Linked DNA regions of Saccharomyces cerevisiae S288C. The gene in region 2 interacts genetically with the main gene of each other region. Each region holds a gene or a part of one and is shown on either strand. Other genes may lie near its edges. The genes, in order: RPL40A, UBA1 and CLN3.

Region 1 (2,991 bases), on a different chromosome or scaffold from region 2:
CTCAAGGAACAATCTTTTTCCAATGATGTTAGTTGTGAGCGTAGCAAATCGTTCATATTTTTTTGTAAAGTCATTTCTTTGGAGAATTCTGCTTTTTCCACACTTGCGGTATCTTTCAAATTTTTCATTTCCAGTACTTTCTCTTCCACCGACTGGGATAATTGTTTATTTTGATTTAGTAAAAACTTATTGTACGTAAAGACAGATTCATAGTTGGATTGCATTTGGTATAGTTTTTCTTCGAGGTTCTCTACGTGCGATGATTTTGTGACTTCTTCTGTTAGCGTTTTTTTGCTAAAAGATGATAATTTTTCTTCAATTAATTTTTTACTTTGTAACATTAATTCTTTTTCCTGTACTGAGGTATCGTACTTTAACTGTAATGATATAGCATTGGACTTGCACCTTTGTAGTATATTTTCCATTTCCATCAGCTTTCTTCGAAGAAGCTTATTTTCTTTGTTCAAATCATCATTTAAAGAATCATTCCCCTGATCTCTACTCTGCCAAATGTCATATTCTTCTTTAACTCGTTTTTCGTCATTTACTTCTCTCATAGCTTCATGGCTCACATGCAATTGTTTTTTTAGTGCATCTATTTCCCGCCTATATCTGGAACGTTCTTCATTCAGCTGATCTTTCAAGCCATTCAATTCTTCTTTAGCTGTGTTCTTCTGCTCAGAAGATTCATCTAGTAGCTGCTTAAGTTTTGAAATCCTTGAATAGTACTGCGATTTGATCTCATCGACCAAAACATTGAGTTTTGTCACTTCCTCTTCAGAACGTTCAAACTTGGCTATTTTCTTGTATAACTTTCTTAAGACAGGATAGGTAACACCTTGAAGTGATTCGAATGGAACATTTAAAAACTCAGATATTTTGTCCTCCATTGCCGGTTTGCTTCCGCCCAGTGTTCTTTCGCCTTAAATTTCTTTTGGTAAACTTCCACTAGAAAAAGAAAAGCCACCAGAGAAATAAGCGCTTGCAATTTAACGCCGATATTGTTTTCTTCTTCTATTATCTTCAATTATCGATCAACTCTATCCAACAATTCTATAATATCCACTGTTCATTAACGAATATTGGTCTTTTTCCCTTATGGTGAAGTAAATTTTCCATGCAATATCCGGGTAAGCTATCGACAAGTTTATTGACTGCAATTTGAGTTTATTACATCCGTACATTACTAAGATGTATGGTTTTTCTATTTTTGTGCTCCGTGTCGATATTTCGTGGAGCAAACCAGAAAAGATGCGGAACCTCTTAGCACTCCGCCTGGACATAGGCGGAGCATATTCCTCCTATGGGATGGGTTTTGTTGTACTCTTTTCTCTCTAGACAGGACCTCCGATTGCCTCCCTGAGGGTGAGATGGTTTCCGGCCTCAGGACGGCCTTCTCCAGTTTCTAGCGAGGCATACATTCCAACCAAAGGTGTATCAAGAATATCTGAAATTAAAGGTAGTTGAATCTCTATTTGTTGTTGTTATTACCGCTTATTATCCCATAGTTGAGACGACCAAGATTCAAACATGCAAATGTATGCACCATATCCATTCTAAACATAGTTTTTCGAACGTTCAGAGCTTAAAGGGACAATTATTTTAGAAACTGAATTTTTACCCAGTGGAATAACATCGTATCTGTAAAGTCTACAAAATTTTTTATCCATCAAAAATTAAAACAAAGAAAACTGCCAAACTGAATATGAGGAACTTTCCTCTCTAGGAATGACTTAGTGAATGTACAGTGACTTGTGGAAAATATGATTAGATTTTGAGCGGGTGATGCGACTTAACAGTCTCATTGCCTAAGAAATATCCAAATTTGTGGTTCATGCTCTCCCCCAAGATATGACGATGAGAGCTCGTTTAAAATTTTGTCTTCTTCCGAACAGTTATGAAAAAACTATTACGTGTTTTTATGATATCCTTACTAACTTGTCATTTTTTTATAAAATTATTTTTTTAACAGTTTTGTCAAGACTTTGACTGGTAAGACCATCACTTTGGAAGTTGAATCTTCTGACACTATTGACAATGTCAAGTCAAAGATTCAAGACAAGGAAGGTATCCCACCTGACCAACAAAGATTGATCTTTGCTGGTAAGCAATTGGAAGACGGTAGAACCTTGTCTGACTACAACATTCAAAAAGAATCCACTTTGCACTTAGTCTTGAGATTGAGAGGTGGTATCATTGAACCATCTTTGAAAGCTTTGGCTTCCAAGTACAACTGTGACAAATCTGTTTGCCGTAAGTGTTATGCTAGATTGCCACCAAGAGCTACCAACTGTAGAAAGAGAAAGTGTGGTCACACCAACCAATTGCGTCCAAAGAAGAAGTTAAAATGATCTGTTTCGCCCAATCAATCTATACATTTATTTACTGTATACTTTAATGTACATCTTCTTTTATCATACCTACTGTTAAAATCATAATATTAATTCATACAATATACTTAAGAAAACAATATACTTTTCTTAGTTTCATAACTTTGGAATCTATAATGTTGTTTTTTTTTTTTTAAGTATATTTGTATATTATGCATATAAGTCAACGCGTAGCGGTGGTATTACGCGCAAGCTTTTGATTTCTCTTACTATTCTTGGTTGTTCATTTGTTATTTTTCTTTCCCTGATATGCTGCACAAAACTCAGTAAGAATAGTTTTCAATTTTGGTCTTTTGATTGGTTTCGATAAAAATCCGTTCATTCCTGATTCCAAACATTCTTTAATGTTGCTATCGTCAGCAAAAGCGGTTAGAGCGACAATAGGTGAGGTATAACCTAAATCGCGCCTTATCATCTTGGTAGAAAGTAAACCATCCACTTTAGGCATCTGGACATCCATGAAAATCATATTATAATTTTCGCCCTTAGATGTCAATTCTTTAACTTTGTCGAATGCTTCTTGGCCATCGCAAGCCAGTTCAATATTTTCAATGCCCTCCAAGTTCAACATTCTTTTGATAACTTCCTGATTTACATGATT
Region 2 (5,611 bases):
CCATCAGAGATAACCTAACTTATGGTTTACAAGATGAAATACTTGAAATTGAAATGTATGATGCATTAAAATACGTAGGAATCCATGACTTTGTAATTTCATCACCTCAGGGCTTGGATACACGTATTGATACAACTTTACTGTCAGGTGGACAAGCGCAAAGGCTTTGCATAGCCAGAGCACTTCTGAGAAAATCAAAAATTCTGATTTTAGATGAGTGTACTTCAGCCTTGGATTCTGTCAGCTCCTCTATCATCAATGAGATCGTCAAAAAAGGTCCACCTGCTCTACTAACAATGGTTATAACGCATAGTGAACAAATGATGAGGTCTTGTAACTCGATTGCAGTTCTTAAAGATGGTAAAGTGGTTGAGCGAGGTAACTTCGACACTTTATATAATAATCGCGGGGAATTATTCCAAATTGTTTCCAACCAAAGCAGTTAAACCCAAAGAAAATATAAAACAAAAAACTAAAACATACTCAAATATTCGAGACTACATTAATAATAATAATAATAATAATAATAATAAGTTTTTACCAAAGAAAAAGTTGTCAAAAGTCATACATATATATATACATATTTAATGTATATATTTAATTTATTTTTTTATTTTGGTTAATTAGTTACTCATAGATGAATGGTAATGAAAGGAACTTCAACATCCTCTCCTTCCTTGTCATCTGCGCAAATTTCGAGAATCATTGTAGATACATGTGCCGGAATATCTTTCTTAGTCACTAATTTAACCAATTGAGTTATTGGTAGATTTAGTCTTTCTTTCAATTTCTTTGGAGGGAAAAATGAGGCATAAAGAAGAGAAACGCCATAAGAAAGCATTGTTATTTCTAACCCTTCATCTTTTTCAAAATGTTCAATTAAATCACTTAATTTAATATCTCCCTTGATATCAAATCTATCCCAAATTTTATCATATTTCTTGTTGTTATATTCTCCCTTTGGTGAAGCAATTGGTTCCGAAAAACCGAAAAATGGCAAAGCTAAATTAACAAAGCCATTCTTATATTGCTCAATATCTGTCTTGTTGTCAATCAGTTTATATAATTCCAAATTGACCAAACCAGTAACCAAAGAAGTGGTTGTTGCGATGGCAGGAATAATACGGCCAGCTATGAATTTGGTCTTTTGGCGATCAGCAGTTTCGATGAAGTAGTTTTGAGCTCTACAGTTAGAACAAGCCGTTATAAATTCAATATGATGATTAGTGTCATCGTCTTTCTCGAAATCTACAGGCTCCAGTTTAAAGCCAGCCAAAGTAGAAGGATCTGGTAGGGATGATACCAGCTGATCAATTTCATCTGAGCCATTAGCCGCGTTGGCATTTGGATCCGGATCATCGTCATTAACTTGAATTTTCAAATTGGCATTTGGAGTAAATTCTGGAATTATCATATGATCGATGACGGACTTATACTCGTCCACGTTGGGTTTAGAATTAGAGTCATCACTTTTAATACCATAATTATAAGCGCGTAAACTAGCACCTGCTACGACAAAATGGAAGTGATCGTTATTGTAAATATCAAACTCTAATGGTGTTGGAGCACGCTTAGCACCGGACCAAAATGGTTCACCGTTGGAAGTCTTGGCATCCTTGGGGAAGTTGAACAGTAACTGCTTGATATCATGGTTGAATTTTTTTTCAAATTCTAACCTTGCCCATTTGATACAATCTTCAAAATTGTGTGGTTTACTAGATAGAGAATCTGAGATGGATTCTAGAACTCCCTTGACATCCCCGCTTTGCTTTAGTGTTTGCTCAACGAAATTCGGTTGTGTCAAGTACATATTAACGTTTTCGGCGGAATCAGTGAAGTAACCTTGGAAAAGAGATTTGGCCCAGGCAATGGTGTGATCAATCTTGTTTGGGAAAGAACGTAGGGTACACAATGGGATAGACTTTTCTGGTGGGTCTCTAGAAGAAGAGTATGATTCAGTCAATCTTGGAATGATGACTTGAGTATTACCTTTAGTACCTAGGGTACCAGATTCTAACAGTGGTTTTCTATAAAACACACAACGGCGATCTACGTATGTTCTTGCGTCGACATTGTCTAGAGCGTTGGTGACAAAATCCAGGCTTTCCCAAAAGGAGTCATTAAATATTTCCTCAGTTTCTGGCCCCACTTTATCAATTTTAGCATTTATCTTGCCCTTCAAATCGGGGTTCATAGCACAAACGGCCTCTGCCGCTACTTCAGATTTGTTCTTTCCGACATCCTTTGGTCTAAACAAGAACTGACGGTTTAAGTTGGACTTTTCGATCGAATCGTTATCCGTAACAACGATGTAACCGTCGGAGCCAGAACCAAGCCCCAAAAGTGCCCAATTTTTCAACATCTCACAACCAATGGCACCAGATCCGACAAGAAAGACCTTTGAATTGGCAATCTTTTTCTGAAAATCCAAACCGAAAACCGCGATTTGATTATCGTAACGAGAGTTTACTGGCTGAGTAGTCTTCTCATTTCTTGGGAAGTTTTTAGGATCTGGCAATGATTCCAAGGAATCAAAGTACATAAATTGCTTTAGCGGAGTAAATTTACCAGAACATGCTTTTAACACTTCTTGTGCCACAAGGCCACCGAAAAATGCTACGACACCCGGTATGTCACCTCTTGCCTGATAGGAAAGCTCTTTGATTAAATCTTCATTAACATCTACACCTTCACCCAGAACCTCCGGTTGCTGAACGGACAAATCGGTGACCAACTTGATTAATTCATTGGCGTCTTCGTCATTCATTGTTCTTGGCAGTTCACCATTATGTCTAACGGCAAACTGATGTAAAGCCTGAAATCCCAAATGCAATTGAGCAGCTCTGTCAAATTTAGCAAAATCCGAAAAAACAAACTCAGGATTGGACAGTTGTTGTTTCAAAGACTTGAATGAGATTTTACGGGGTACTTTGACTTCGGTGAAGATACCGCCCTTCTTATACTCGCCATATTCTTTGACTGAACCAATTCTGAATGCAAAGGGCCCCAAAACCTCAACTTTAAAAAGGGTCCCATCATTCAACTTATCAAGACCTTCTACTTCGGAGAACCTGACAAAATTTCCGTCTTCCAACCCGTGTCTGTTATCATCTAGCATGGTCACTGTTCCATCGGGCTCGATGTCTGAAACCATACCAGTGCGAGGTTCTTCACCCGTTGGGTCCAACACTGTGAACTCGTCACCTAGGTCTACGAAGGTGTTACCAAACAGCCCTCTTGTCTCCGAGGAAATGAATCTAATACCGGAGGAATGGCAAAATTCGTTGATTTTCACCTTATCTTCCAAAGAAACAGTGTCCGTAGCGACAACGACCTGGAATTGACTCAATTGGGTAACATCGTCTAAGGAATCCAGCACATTAACCGGGACATATGCGTTCAACTCTGCCAATTTGGCTCTGGTCACATCTCCTCTCTTTTGACCAATATCCTTTTCGGTCAAAAAGAATTGGGTTGATAAGTCTGCCAATTGAACCGGCTCAGGGTCAAAAACGGTCATAGATTTGACACCTGCCAACACAACGTTCTTCGCTATCTCAACACCTAGCCCCTTCAAGCCGAGAATTAATACGTTGGAGGTTTGCATTTTCAACATTGCTTCCTTACCCAACACATAAAGTTGACGAGAATAAAGACTTTCATCGATTTCTCCGGCGGCAGAGAGACCACTATTATTGCTGCTCATAGCTATAGTTATATGTTCTTTGCTTTGCTACTAATCTTACTTTTTGTTTGCTTATATCCAGCGATTGGCGGTTGCTCATCCTACTTAAAGGCCCTTTTTGATCATTTTCTTTTACCTTTATTTGCCACCCGCACCTTTTGTCACACTACACGAGAATATGCCGCATGGAAGCGTAATGGCAATTCAAGAAAGAGCTCTAATATTATTTACAATCACATGAATACAAGATCATAGCTTAACAAGGAGTGGATAGTCAGTAAAGGCGCCCTAAGCTCTACTAAAAACTGGGCTTTAAAAGATGTTCCTCGTCACTTGAGAATCTGTTGTCCCTATCTGGTTCCTCATCATACAATCCACTCCATCGTTTCTCCCACCCTACTACAAACTAGTGAGGCGAACGAGAAAATAAGAAACACTAAGGCTCGCTTTTCCTGCTGGACAGAGACATGCATTAGTGTTTGTTGTTCTCGCGCCAGTCGCTGTTTTTGCTTGCAAGTGCGACGTCCTCTTCTTCTTCTTCTTCTTTCTTCTTTGAGATGCGTAACAACACAACTACATTTTGTATTTTCCTCCCTTTTATACTCCTCCGCTGGAGTATTTTTTCGTATTTTTCACTTTTTTTGCTTCTTATAGGCCTTTTTGAACTATTTTCTGTTAGGGCTTAAAGAAAGCGCAGCAAATGGCTGATTTTAAATGCTGTTTTCTCGAAAGCAATGCTGATGATGTACCACAAAGTAGTATTTGCGCTTAGCTTGTCGATATAAGTATGCCTTTGAGCCAGTATTAAACTTCCTACTATCTCTTCTGGACCTCACCGTGCTATTCATATCACTGACGACGGAAAATGCCTCTTGTAGTAATCATTGAATGATCATCAATGGCTCGTTGACTCATTCTAATCTATAGCAGATATTAAGGTACGCAAAAAGTTCGACAAGGAGCTGGTCAGTATTAACACATTACCAAATCTGTTTGGTTCTACATAGAACGCCATAAAAGTAAGAAAAAAATGTCTGTGCACGCTGCAACAAACCCAATCAATAAGCATGTGGTTCTAATTGACAACTACGATTCCTTTACCTGGAACGTTTACGAGTACTTGTGCCAGGAGGGCGCCAAAGTGAGCGTCTACCGTAACGATGCAATTACAGTTCCAGAAATTGCCGCCTTGAATCCCGACACATTGCTTATCTCGCCTGGACCAGGCCACCCAAAGACAGATTCTGGCATTTCAAGAGACTGTATCCGGTACTTTACTGGGAAAATTCCTGTATTTGGAATCTGTATGGGCCAGCAATGCATGTTTGACGTATTTGGTGGTGAAGTTGCCTACGCTGGTGAGATTGTCCACGGTAAAACGTCCCCAATCTCTCACGACAACTGTGGAATTTTCAAGAACGTGCCGCAAGGTATTGCTGTGACAAGATACCATTCATTGGCCGGGACAGAATCGTCCCTACCATCCTGCTTGAAGGTTACTGCGAGTACCGAAAATGGAATTATCATGGGTGTAAGACACAAGAAGTACACTGTAGAAGGTGTGCAATTTCATCCGGAATCCATCTTGACCGAGGAAGGTCATCTGATGATCAGGAACATTTTAAACGTCAGTGGAGGCACTTGGGAGGAAAACAAATCATCTCCTTCAAATTCTATTTTGGACCGTATCTATGCTCGGCGTAAAATAGACGTCAATGAGCAGTCTAAAATCCCAGGTTTCACCTTTCAAGACTTACAATCTAACTATGATTTAGGTCTTGCCCCACCGTTACAGGATTTCTACACGGTGTTGTCATCATCCCATAAAAGAGCCGTTGTTCTTGCTGAAGTCAAGCGTGCCTCTCCATCGAAGGGACCCATTTGTTTAAAAGCTGTTGCTGCTGAACAGGCTCTCAAATACGCAGA
Region 3 (4,041 bases), on a different chromosome or scaffold from region 2:
GATAATGGCGATCAATTCTAAAATTTCGAATACACATAATAACAACATTTCACCAATCACCAAGATCAAATATCAGGACGAAGATGGGGATTTTGTTGTGTTAGGTAGCGATGAAGATTGGAATGTTGCTAAAGAAATGTTGGCGGAAAACAATGAGAAATTCTTGAACATTCGTCTGTATTGATAAATAAAACTAGTATACAGCAAATACTAAATAATTCAAGAAAAAAACATTAGATAGAGAGGGGCAGATGTTCAAGCTATACCCATTATATTGATCCACACTTAGTATTAAGATACGTCTGTGAAGGATGAAAAAAAATGTATAATGTGACTAGAGGAAGTAAGGAGAAAAAACGATAGTAATCGTATTTTAGGTTGTGCGTTTTTATAATTTTTTTTTTTTTGTAATTCTATGCAAATGTAATATAAGTATATTTAAAGAAATAATGAGTCCTGTGAAAACAAAAAGAAAAAAAGATCATTAATGTATGTTAACGTATTTGCTTTGCAAATTTTAATTTATTTGTTGTTAAATGCATTTTTTTTTTGTCGTTTCAGCGAGTTTTCTTGAGGTTGCTACTATCATTAAAATCACAATCCACAGAGGAAGTTGATCTCTTTTTCAGTTGGGTGGGGGCAGAGCATGGGTGAGCAGTGGCCATGGGTCTAACAGGAAATAATCTTTTTGAACGCACAGATAAATTTTGTAATAATTTTCTATTTGACATTAGAGATGGGGTGGTGGGAGTTAGTGGGCTTGGCCAAAAGATGCTTGAATTTTGTGGGATGCTCAGTGACCTTTTAAAAGAATTTTGGGTAGAAGAGAACGAACCTGAATGTGAATGGTGTGATGCAGAGTCTGGGGTCGTCATTGAACTTGAAGTCTTGTAAGGGGAATTGAATGGAGATGGAGAGGATGAAGATGAGGTTGGAGTGAAGGCAAATGGTGGAGAAATGCTATCTTTGGTCAACCTTCTTAAATGAGTGTGATCCGAGAAATAGTCTGTGGCCGCAGATGAAACCGTAGCGCTCTTTGGAGTAGTAGCATTTGAGTAAACACAAGTCAATGAATCGCTGTCAAAGGACTGAGCAAAGATAGTATTGTACATGGTTTCCAATTCTTGTGAACGGTAGAATTCTTCCAGTTTCAATTGAATACAATAGTTTTGTAATGCGTCTAAGAGAGATTTTGCTAAAGATGTCTTATTGCTATTCAAATATTTTGATTTGAAACTGGAGGGGAAAGAATTTTGGTCCATTGCTATATCCAATAAAGTATTAGAGATTTCTGACAATTTAATATCTAGGTCTTGGCAGTTTTCCTCCAAAGCCAGATTGATATTTTCCCAAAGGTTTGAATTATAGTAGTTCAAAGATAATTTGATGAGGTTAATTGCACCCAGCGCAATTAGTGAACGATCATATTTAAATGATAATTCGAGATTGAAGGAAGCTAACTCGCACAACATAATGGCACCCAATTTGATCTCGTTGATGTTCAAAGAGGGGCCTTGAGAAGAGGACGATTTATTAATAGCAGTACCAGCAGCGTTATTTAATAAGGCCAGTTTCTGTTGAATGAAAGCTTCCAAAGGGGCAGAAAGGACAACGCCAGGCGATAACGGGGACGTAGATTGGAACAAGAAGATGTCGATGTAGGAGTCGAATGTTGCCGACTGACAGATGGACCAATCGAGTGATTTGAAAAGATGCATTTCCATAGTCGTGAATTGCTTTATAGAATATTGATTGCAACACAAGTTTTGCAAGACTTTCAAAGTGGCCATTCTATTCTTGGAGTCCCAAAATTTGGACGAAATCCAAAGCGCGGTCAAGGACAAGAGCTGGTAGTTGTAACTCTTGATAATGAACCGCGAGGAATACTTGTCCAAGATAGTGAAAGTAAGGAACAAAGTCGAGGTCGATAGATTGAGTCTTGTGTGACAGTACATGATGAAGTCAAAGATCAAGAAACGCATCTTCGGATTAACTTGTGGCTGAGAGTTGAAGTTAGTCAGGTTGTACAGCGGCCTTTCTGTGTGGGAAAGACGGAAATAGTGGTCCAATTGATCATTATTGTATTCGCTGATCGCTGAGTGATGTGCTTGCAATTCTCTTTTAACGAGATTAGGGTTTTTAGACTTTGCACTAGCAATGGCCCGCCTCTTTTGCAAGAGCAAGGGCAAATTAGGACATGAGGCAGCGCTGACAGAGGCGGCAGTGGCGGTGGAAGTGCCACTAGCGGTAGCATACCTTGCATTAGCGTATCTAATTATGGTATCCTTCAATATGGCCATCGTACAGAAAGCGTATCAAATCAGTGTCTTGAACGAGAGTAAAAGGGAGATGCAATGGAATGTAAGAAATGCTATGGGTCAGAAAAGAAATGCAGAGGAGTTAAACCGAATGAGGAAATGCAATGGATACGTTAAATTGGAGATGTGAGATTGCGACTGGGACTCGGATGGATGCTTGCTTTTGGATGCTAGTACAGAGAAAAAAGAGGGAGAAAAGAAAAGAGAAATAGAAAAAGGTTGGTTTAAGTCGGCAGAGGAGACTACTCGGGCAATTCGTTTCCTAATGGGTATAGTCCTCTTTCCTCAGAAATCCATTTGACTGGCAGACTCAGTAGTAGAAGAAAAAATCAAGAAAGAAATTGTGTGAAAGTATACTACACAAGAAAATGTTTAAGAAGAAGATTAAAAGCTCGAGGAAAGTACAGATATACAAATTATAAATAGGTAGGAGGAAGAAAAAAAAAAGATGAGGGCAAAAACCCAAGGCCAAATATGGAAATGTGGCAGAGGGACACACTAATCCGATAGTAAATTTATGTAACTTGATCATTACAGTGAGAGCAGGCTTGGTAATTTCTTTTTCTTGCCTGATAATTTTTCACTTTTTCTTTTTTTTTTTCTTGAAAGTTCACAATTTAGGGTTTGAGCACAGCGTTTGGTTGCGACACTTCCCCAGAAGGAAAACCGGCCTCTTTGGCTGGGGAGGGAAGAAGGGGGAGGAGAGCTCAGAAAGCCCTATCGCGATATGAGGGACCGATCTGTATCAGCATACTTTCGGTATCATCACGGTCGCAGGATAGAGATAGTGAATGAGTTAGCTGTTTTACAGGCCAAGCGTTCAAACGAGACGAATGGCGACATTTGCCCGTCAAGAAAACCCGCCGAGTTTTTTCCTAAACGGGTAAAACAGCCATGCACCGCAGCACGTCGACGAGGTGATATTTCCAATTTGGGAAATTTCCCAAATCAGTAATGTAGCCTCTACGGGTGTCTCTGTCAGCCCCGTGGTCGCCAGCACAGAATGTATCGTACCCCTGAAGGTAGTTTTTTACCGCCGTGGCACACGATAAAGGTGCACCTTGTGATAATAAGGTGGAAAAATATATATGAAAAAGTGAAATTGATTGTGGCTGCACTAGGACATCATTATTTCTTACTTGGCTATTTACACGTACTTACGCTGGCTGTATATCATTTAAGGGGCGGAGGACGAAGAGGACGGACCCGAGATCATCCGGTCCAAGAAACGGGTCATCCGGTCCTTAGCATTGTCTAGACTATCTAGGGCAGGACGGACATCCACGTGGAAAGTAGGCATTCCGTTTTCGTCGTCGGGCCCTCCGTAGAAATCCAAGACGTATCTAACTTCCTTGAAGGTTGGAGGTTGTTGTTCCGCTTTGCGCTCGCCTCGGAGTACAATCCAGTCGTGCCTGTCGAATGGTAGTTCTTGGCTAAAATGGGACGGAAACAGTAGGCCGCACAGGTGCATCCAGCGAGCACGAGGGCTCAATACGCCCGGTTTCCCCATGAATTTCAGCAACTTAGGCTGCACGTGGCTTTCATCTGTGTGCGGTTTTTCCCATTCGAGCACTTCCTGCCAGCACCCTTCATTTAGAAAGTTGTGGACCTGCACCATGGACTCCACTGCATCTTCGGCGACTTCGCCGCTACCGCCAATCTTGCCCTTTCTAACCATAGCATTGTACATCTGTTGTGGAGAAGGATACTCCCAGAACTCGTT

What was found.
Region 1: of UBA1 (region 2) and RPL40A, extra expression of one rescues a mutant of the other (dosage rescue), as found in Saccharomyces cerevisiae (one study listed by BioGRID).
Region 3: of UBA1 (region 2) and CLN3, extra expression of one rescues a mutant of the other (dosage rescue), as found in Saccharomyces cerevisiae (one study listed by BioGRID).

What each region holds. Positions count from the first base shown.
Region 1 is NC_001141.2:67,178-70,168, forward strand, and holds RPL40A (ubiquitin-60S ribosomal protein eL40 RPL40A fusion protein), read left to right. Parts: upstream 1-1,530; coding exon 1,531-1,538; intron 1,539-1,972; coding exon 1,973-2,351; downstream 2,352-2,991. Other genes in the region: MLP2 (Mlp2p), read right to left, coding at 1-890; SLN1 (histidine kinase), read right to left, coding at 2,614-2,991.
Region 2 is NC_001143.9:37,258-42,868, reverse strand, and holds UBA1 (E1 ubiquitin-activating protein UBA1), read right to left. Parts: upstream 3,707-5,611; coding exon 632-3,706; downstream 1-631. Other genes in the region: ATP-binding cassette a-factor transporter STE6, read left to right, coding at 1-446; TRP3 (bifunctional anthranilate synthase/indole-3-glycerol-phosphate synthase), read left to right, coding at 4,716-5,611.
Region 3 is NC_001133.9:65,221-69,261, forward strand, and holds CLN3 (cyclin CLN3), read right to left. Parts: upstream 2,301-4,041; coding exon 558-2,300; downstream 1-557. Other genes in the region: Rho family guanine nucleotide exchange factor CDC24, read left to right, coding at 1-184; holocytochrome c synthase CYC3, read right to left, coding at 3,496-4,041. UniProt on the Saccharomyces cerevisiae protein: Essential for the control of the cell cycle at the G1/S (start) transition. CLN3 may be an upstream activator of the G1 cyclins which directly catalyze start.